Linked DNA regions of Oryctolagus cuniculus. The protein of the gene in region 1 purifies or fractionates together with the protein of each later gene. This does not show direct contact. Links are inferred from orthologs where the notes say so. Each region holds a gene or a part of one and is shown on either strand. Other genes may lie near its edges.

What was found.
Region 2: the proteins of CEP43 (region 1) and CEP78 purify together in Homo sapiens (affinity purification with mass spectrometry; 3 studies listed by BioGRID and IntAct, with this or other methods). This does not show direct contact. The link is inferred for Oryctolagus cuniculus from reciprocal best matches to the Homo sapiens genes CEP43 and CEP78.

Annotation. Positions count from the first base shown.
Region 1 is NC_091436.1:2,075,684-2,080,035, forward strand, and holds the start of CEP43 (centrosomal protein 43), read right to left. Parts: upstream 3,082-4,352; 5' UTR 3,007-3,081; coding exon 2,905-3,006; intron 1,945-2,904; coding exon 1,891-1,944; intron 1-1,890. UniProt on the Homo sapiens protein: Required for anchoring microtubules to the centrosomes. Required for ciliation.
Region 2 is NC_091432.1:152,029,673-152,033,477, forward strand, and holds part of CEP78 (centrosomal protein of 78 kDa), read right to left. Parts: intron 3,197-3,805; coding exon 3,022-3,196; intron 1-3,021. UniProt on the Homo sapiens protein: Centriole wall protein that localizes to mature centrioles and regulates centriole and cilia biogenesis. Involved in centrosome duplication: required for efficient PLK4 centrosomal localization and PLK4-induced overduplication of centrioles.

The DNA.
Region 1 (4,352 bases):
CGATAAGCACCAGCAGGCAGCTCGACCAGAGTATGAGCTGCAGATCACCGAAGATAGGCACGAATCAACACCAGTAAGTCTCCCCACAATACAGCAATGAGAAGGCTTGGATTCGGTTTGCCTGATTGGTAGGGCTTGTAAGCACCTGCAGGCAGTTCTAGCAGAGCAGAGCATGCGCTGCAGGGCACCGAACACAGGCACGCATCAGCGCCTAAAAACCTCCTCACAACATGGCGAAGAGAGGACCCGGATTCGGTCTGCCTGATTGGTAGGGCTTGTAAGCACCTGTGGGCAACTCTAGCAAGCAGAGCAGAGTGTGTGCCGCGGGACACCGAAGACAGGCACGTATCAACGCCAAAAATAAAAAGAAAGGGGGATCTGTGGGGAGCAACTCGGACTAGACTAAGTTACTGGAATTAGGACTTATTCTATGCATCTGCTCTCCCACAATATGGTGCTGGAAGAGAAGAAAACAGCTTCTACACAGCTGCCTCCAGTTCAACCAATAAACAGCAGGACCTGCTCCTGATTGGAGGAGAGCAGCGTACTCGGCGTGTGGGCAGCCGAGTTGGGATTGGTGGAAGAGGACTATAAAGGAGGAGAGAGACGACATGCACCAGGAACATCTATCTGAAGGAACACCTGTGCAGCCCCCGAGAGAGCCGGCCGGCGGTGTGCCGCTCCCCCGCGGAAGTGGGGAAAGCGGCCAGGGGGAACCGCCCTTCCATGGAGGTGGAAGGGATGGTAGCCAACCCGGGAAGAACCAGCAGCAAACCCGGGGAGGGCCGAGCAGACGAAAGAACAGCGCAGGGTCCTGTGTCGTTCCTCCACGAAGAGGGGGAGCGACAAGGAGGACGGGACCACAGTCTGAAGGAGGAGGAGGACGGGCCCATAGTCTGACGGAGGAGGAGGACGGGCCCACAGTCTGAGGGAGGAGGAGGACGGGCCCACAGTCTGAGGGAGGAGGAGGACGGGCCCACAGTCTGAGGGAGGAGAAGGATGGGCCCACAGTCTGAAGGAGGACGGGCACACAGTCTGAGGGAGGAGGAGGACGGGACCACAGTCTGAGGGAGGAGGGGGACGGGCCCACAGTCTGAGGGAGGAGGAGGAGGACGGGCCCACAGTCTGACGGAGAAGGAGGATGGGACCACAGTCTCAGGGAGGAGGGGGACGGGCCCACAGTCTGAGGGAGGAGGAGGACGGGCCCACAGTCTGAGGGAGGAGGAGGACGGGCCCACAGTCTGAGGGAGGAGGAGGATGGGCCCACAGTCTGAGGGAGGAGGAGGATGGGCCCACAGTCTGAGGGAGGACGGGCACACAGTCTGAGGGAGGAGGAGGACGGGCACACAGTCTGAGGGAGGAGGAGGACGGGACCACAGTCTGAGGGAGGACGGGCCCACAGTCTGAGGGAAGAGGAGTTTGGGCCCACAGTCTGAGGGAGGAGGAGGACGGGCCCACAGTCTGAGGGAGACCGCGTCCACTCTGCGGGCCACACGTGCGCAGCTTCTCCTGCATTCAGTTTTTCTCTTGTATGAGACGCCGAGCGGGCGAGAGGACGGCGGCCAGCGCGGCTCCCCCACCCCCACCGCGCTGGTCTGGGCCGCCCAGGCAGGCGCCTCCGAGGACTCCAGCCACACCTGCTGCCTGCGGGCGGGCGGGCGCCGGCAGGACACCTGCGGCAGAGGCTGGGCCGGGACTCGAACCGGGGGCGCTGAGAGGGCCACGGCGTTGCGGAGGCCCTCCCCGCCCCCAGGACGCATCACCCCCCTGTCCTGGTCTGTCACCCGGCCCCTCTCTAGGGCTACTCCGCAAAGCGGACCCCGATCGCCGCGCCGGCCCCCCCCCCCGCCCCCGCCCCGCCCCCGGCCCCGCCCCGCGCTCGGCTCTCACCTCCACCTTCTCCTGCTCCTCCAGCGCCAGGAACACGGCCGCGCGCAGCTCGGCCTTGGGAAGAGGAGCCCGAGTCAGCGCCCGCGTCCGCGACCCCCGCCCCGGGCCCAGCCCGCGTCCGCGACCCCGCCCCGGGCCCAGCCCGCGTCCGCGACCCCCGCCCCGAGGTCCAGCCCCGCATCCGCGACCCCCGCCCCCGAGTTCCAGCCCGCGTCCGCGACCCCCGCCCCCGAGGTCCAGCCCGCGTCCGCGACCCCCGCCCCCGAGGTCCAGCCCCGCGTCCGCGACCCCCGCCCCCGAGGTCCAGCCCCGCGTCCGCGACCCCCGCCCCCGAGGTCCAGCCTGCGTCCGCGACCCCCGCCCCGGGCCCAGCCCCGCTCTCGCCGCCCCCGCCCCCGAGGTCCAGCCCCGCGTCCGCGACCCCCGCCCCGAGGTCCAGCCCCGCGTCCGCGACCCCCGCCCCGGGCCCAGCCCGCGTCCGCGACCCCCGCCCCCGAGGTCCAGCCCGCGTCCGCGACCCCCGCCCCGAGGTCCAGCCCCGCGCTCGCCGCCCCCGCCCCCGCCCCCGAGGTCCAGCCCCGCGTCCGCGACCCCCGCCCCGAGGTCCAGCCCGCGTCCGCGACCCCCGCCCCCGAGGTCCAGCCCGCGTCCGCGACCCCGCCCCCGAGGTCCAGCCCGCGTCCGCGACCCCGCCCCCGAGGTCCAGCCTGCGTCCGCGACCCCCGCCCCGGGCCCAGCCCCGCGTCCGCGACCCCCGCCCCCGAGGTCCAGCCCCGCGTCCGCGACCCCCGCCCCGAGGTCCAGCCCCGCGCTCGCCGCCCCCGCCCCCGCCCCCGAGGTCCAGCCCCGCGTCCGCGACCCCCGCCCCCGCCCCCGGCCCGGCCCCCGCACGCCGAGCGCGTCCCGCTGTGACGCCCGCGGCCCCCAGGCCCCGCGCCCGCCTCGCCCCGCGGCCCCCAGGCCCCGCGCCCGCCTCGCCCCGCGCCGGGCCAGGCCCCGGCCTCCCGGCCCCACCTTGATGCGGTTCAGGACCCCGCTGTTCTCCAGCGTCTGCACCAGCAGATCCCGCAGCTCCGTGTCCTCCTCGGCCGCCACCGCGGCCGCCGTCGCCGCCATCTTGCTTCTCCAAGACAACCGCCGAAGCCGCGCCGACGGCCAACGGCAGCCGCGGAGGCACACGGCGCACGCGCGGCGCCGCCGACGCCCCGCCCTTTGCGTCGGGGGCGGGGCCGCGGCCGGCGCTGGGGGCGGGGCCTGGAGCGGGGCGGGGCCTCAGGCGCCCGCGGGCCGTGAGGGCGCGCGCACTGGGGCGGGGCTAGGCTGGCCGCCTGCGGTGCTGTCCCAAGTTACGCTTGTGGCGAGGTGCACTGAAATCGGGACCTCCCCAGTCGAGAACGCCCGGCGGCCGGCGGGTGTGAGGGGTGGGCGAAGATTCTAGAAGCCGGGAGGACCCCTCCCCACCCCTGGGATCCCCGCTGATGCTCCCCGCCGCTCCGGGGTCTTGGCTGGCTACTCGACAAGGCCCCAGGCTGCGCCCCTCGCCCCTGCCCGAGGCGGCGCCCACCTGCTGCGCGCTGGCCGCCTCGCCTGCGCCAGGCACCTGCGCTCGCTGGGGGCGGCCGGGGGGCGCGGGGCTCCACGTCGGGAGCTGTGGGACTTCCGGTCGCCTGCGTTGTTAGCTGTGGGCTGTCCACGGTCTGTGCCGCTCCCCGCTGAGACAGGACGCAGCGCACCCAGGCCTCCGCTCACCTCTCCCTTTCCGCTCCCTGCTGGCTGTTGGGCCGGGGGCGCAAGGAGGGAGCTCGGTGTGTCCTGCGGTCACGGTCACGCGCGGCTCCAACAGAGCCTGGCTGAGAGGGCGCCCTGTCGGCCCTCCCCGGTCTCCCTCCCTCTTCCCTCCCTGCCTGCTGTCCGCCCCGCTCTCAGATCCTTTCCTTGGGCTTTGCTCTGGGGCATCCGGGACTGGGACTGCCCGGCACCAGGCCGGCGGGGGCCCGCGGCCCTGGGGGCGCCGGGAGTCCCTGGCACGGCCTCCAAGCTGTGCTGAGTGGTGGTGGGCCGTGCGGCATCCCAGCTGTGCTGAGTGGCGGTGGGCGGTGCGGCCTCCCAGCTGTGCTGAGTGGCGGTGGGCGGTGGGTGGAGAAGGAGGCGCTGACTTTGGCCGCAGCTCTGGCTCCTGCAGACACGCAGACAACGGTGATATTCAAGACTGGAGTCTCTGTTCTGTAAACCGGTACCAGAGGAAAACATGCAGGGGCTCAAGTCGGCCGAGTCCACCCTAGGCCACCTTCCTGAGCCAGAAACGCCCAGGACGTCACCCTGGTGGCCTGGAGTCAGCGCTGACGCCGTGGGAATCGGCAGATCCGTCAAAGCGAAGCCGGAACTCAGAGCCAAGGCGTCCCCTGGAGCCCCACCGCGTCCAGCGGACCTGAATCTGAATCTTAACACTTGAAGCCCCCAGA
Region 2 (3,805 bases), on another chromosome or scaffold:
GCATCTCAAATCAAACTGCCGTTTCAAGTCCCGGCTGCTCTGCTTCTGATTCAGCTCCCTGCTAATGTGCCTAAGAAAGCAGCAGAAAATGGCCCAAGTGCTTGGGCCCTGCTACCCAAGATGGAGTTCTTGGCTCCTGGCTTCAGCCTGGCCTAGTCACAGCCATTGCAGACTTTTGGGAAGTGAACCAGTAGATCTCTTTCAGTCTCTCCCTCTTTCTCCATTACTCTGTCTTTCAAAATAAATGTTTTTAAAAAAAAAAAAGGGGGGGGGGGAATAGAGTAAATTTAAGATTTGCTAGTTTCCAAACAGAAGTAACAAAGAAATCTAAGGCAATATAAATATTATATGAAAAGAATGTGTGCATATAGGCCGGCGCCGTGGCTCACTTGGTTAATCCTCTGCCTGCGGAGCCGGCATCCCATATGGGCGCCAGGTTCTAGTCCCAGCTGCTCCTCTTCCAGTCCAGCTCTCTGCTGTGGCCCAGGAAGGCAGTGGAGGATGGCCCAAGTTCTTGGGCGCCTGCACTCGCATGGGAGACCAGGGAGAGGCACCTGGCTCCTGGCTTGGGATCGGTGCAGCACCGGCTGTAGCGGCCATTTGGGGAGTGAACAAACGGAAGGAAGACCTTTCTCTCTGTCTCTCTCTCTCTCTCTCTCTCACTGTCTATGACTCTACCTGTCAAAAAAAAAAAAAAAAAAAAAAAAGAATGTGTGAATATAGATTATATACTAAAAACCTATCAGGAAAGAATGATGGTTAAGGACTCTCTCAAAAAAAGGTCAATGGCCAGCATTGTGGCATAGTGGGTAAAGCTGCTGCTTACAGTGCCAGCACCCCATATAAGTACTGGTTCTAGTCCGAGCTGCTCCACTTCCCATACAGCTAATGCACCTGGGAAAACAGCGGAAAACAGCCCAAGTCCTTGGGGCCCTGTACCCACATGGGAGACCTGGAATAAGCTCCTGGTTCCTGGTTTCATATCAGCCCAGCTCCAGCCATTTGGGGAGTGAACCTGCACATGGAAAACCTCTGTCTCTGTCTGTTAACTCTGCCTTTCAAATAAAATAAAATAAAGTTCAAAGAAGAGAACAAATGTTCATGAAAACTAATAATTCTCAGGGTAAATAACCTACTCATGGGGCCAGTGCTGTAGTTTAGCAGATAAAGCTGCCACCTGCAGCACCAACATCCCATAAGGGTTCGAGTCCCAGTTCGAGTCCCAGCTGCTCCACTTTCGATCCAGCTCTCTGCTATGGCCAAGAAAGCAGCAGGAGACGGCGCAAGTCCTTGGGCCCCTGCACCCGTGCAGGAGACCCAGAAGAAGCTCCTGGATTGGAGCAGCTCCTGCCACTGCAGCCAACTGGGGAGTGAACCAGCAGATGGAGGACCTATCTCTCTCTCTGCCTCTGCTTCTCTCTGTGTGTAACTCTTTCAAATAAATAAATAAATACATCTTTAAACAAACAAACAAAAAAAAGAAATAAAAAAAAGAAATAACTTACTCACATAGGGGCAGGCATTTGGCTTAACATGTTAAGTTGTCACTTGGGACACTTACATCCCATATCAGAGTGCGCAATTCAAGTTCCAGCTATTCCACTTTCGGATAGAGTTCTGAGCTATTGGGTTGGCCTGTCTGTGGGCATTTGAGGAGTGAACCAGGGCATGGAAGATCTCTGTCTCTCTCTTTCAATTAAAATTATTTTAATCTACTTGTTTAATCCCAAAGGGATCAAAACAAAAATACCAGTATAATAAAGATTACATCAGAGGAAAAATGTAAGTCACATCTTGAAGCACCATTACATTGCAATAACTGAACTCTTTCAAAACCCCATGTTATGAACTACACATCTGTGTGTTCTCCCAAAATTCCTGTGTTGAAACTCCAACCCTCAATGGGGTACTTGTAGGAGGTGGGGCCTCTGCAAGGTGATTAGGTTGAGAAGAGGTCTTAAGAGTCCCTACGATGGCCTGGCTCAGCCCCAGCCGTTGCAGTCAACTGGGGAGTGAACCCGTGGATCCAAGACCTCTCTCTCTCTTTGTCCCTCTCTAACTCTGCCTTTCAAATAAATAAATCTTAGAGAAAAAAAAAGGAATTTACCTGAACAAAATAACCAGAGATGTGAACAACAGTGTGTATCCAAGTATTGTTTGTAACAGTTGAAAAGCTGCAAATAACTTAGATATCTAACAGGAATAAAGAAGCTAAGGGTATTATAGTAATGTAGTGGAACTTCTATCAATGAAAATGATGTAATAGATATAAATCTACTGATTTCTAAAAATCTTTGCACTATATTAGCAATCCTACTTGTATATAAAAGAAAAAAAAAGGCGTTTCTCATTTACATGAAGTTTGAAGTTTTAAAACAGACTTTACCCAAAGATTATGAGTGCAGGGCTCACATATGCAGCTAGTGTGGACTACAAAATGGCAAAACACTTCTGGAAAGCAATTTGGCAGCATGTATCATCAAGTCTATAAAAATATATTGTACTAAATTATTCCACTTTTAATAATTTAATCTTATGGAAGTAATTCCAACATACACACAAGTGTAAACATGAGATATTTATCCCAAAGCTATTTAAAAGAGTAAAAGATAAACTGTCTAAATATTGAATAGCTTGGAATTAAACTATCGTGCTTCAATGTAATAGAGTACTATATGATAGATCATTACGCAAAAAAAGCAGGGTAGCAAAATACATTAGATTACATTATTGTAATCTCTAAGTATACAAATGCAGTGTTCACTTTGGTAATATATACAAATATTCTATAAAGAAAAAAGACAAAATACATGCACACACACCAAAAAGAACAGTGGTTTTCTCGTTACTCTACATTTTCTATAAAGAATACATGTAACATTGATAAAAGTTTAAAATCACAATAAAAGCTAATAGAAGAAAGGATTTTAGAAAAACCTTATGACATTATTGAGCCAAGAGCTAAGCATACTTAACATTAAAAATGCACTATTTTCAACTTTAGAAGTTCATTAAACTTACCCCTAAGCCATAAATCCTCACTAAGGGAGTCCGCAAAGGCACGTGCGCCCAGGTCCCCAATGAGTGTGTTGCAATTCAGTGTGATGCGCCGCAAGCCAGCCATGCAGTCGAGATCGGGTCTCCTGTAGCGAAGGCTCTCAGCCCAGGTTTCTTCATGCCGTCGCATTGACTGATACTTCAAAAATTTAATAGGATGAAGTTAGCACACTGGAATAAGAGGGAAACTAATTATGGCTGATTACATCAGAGCTTTACATCTACACACACACAGCCAACCATACATGCCAAGAGTCAACCTAGGGGATTAAATATTAGATTTTGCTTAAGTGGTCCAGTGACCCAGATCCTAGTCTGCCACTGACTAGTTATGTGACTGACTAGCTGCTGAGTGACTTACTGCTCATTACTTACATAAACTGACAACTTATTAATTTAGAAGAATTTTATTTTTCATATCAGCCAAGTCAAATAATTGGTTTTAAATTCTATCATTATCAAGCTTCTGAATTCTGTAATTCTATCCTCCAGTGGTTATCCAAACACTTGACCGGACATCCCACAAGTAAACATGCTTTAGCATGTATCTTACTTATGAATAAATTATATACAAGAAGTTCTGCACATATATTTTGTGCACATTATAAACTATATAGAAACAACAGATATTTTTCAAATGATACAAAAATCAATATAGCATTCTAATATTTTTCTTTTCCTAATTCAATTATCTTTCATACTTCTTAGGATATGCATCCCAACTTTAGAGACCTGAAATCCCAAAGTC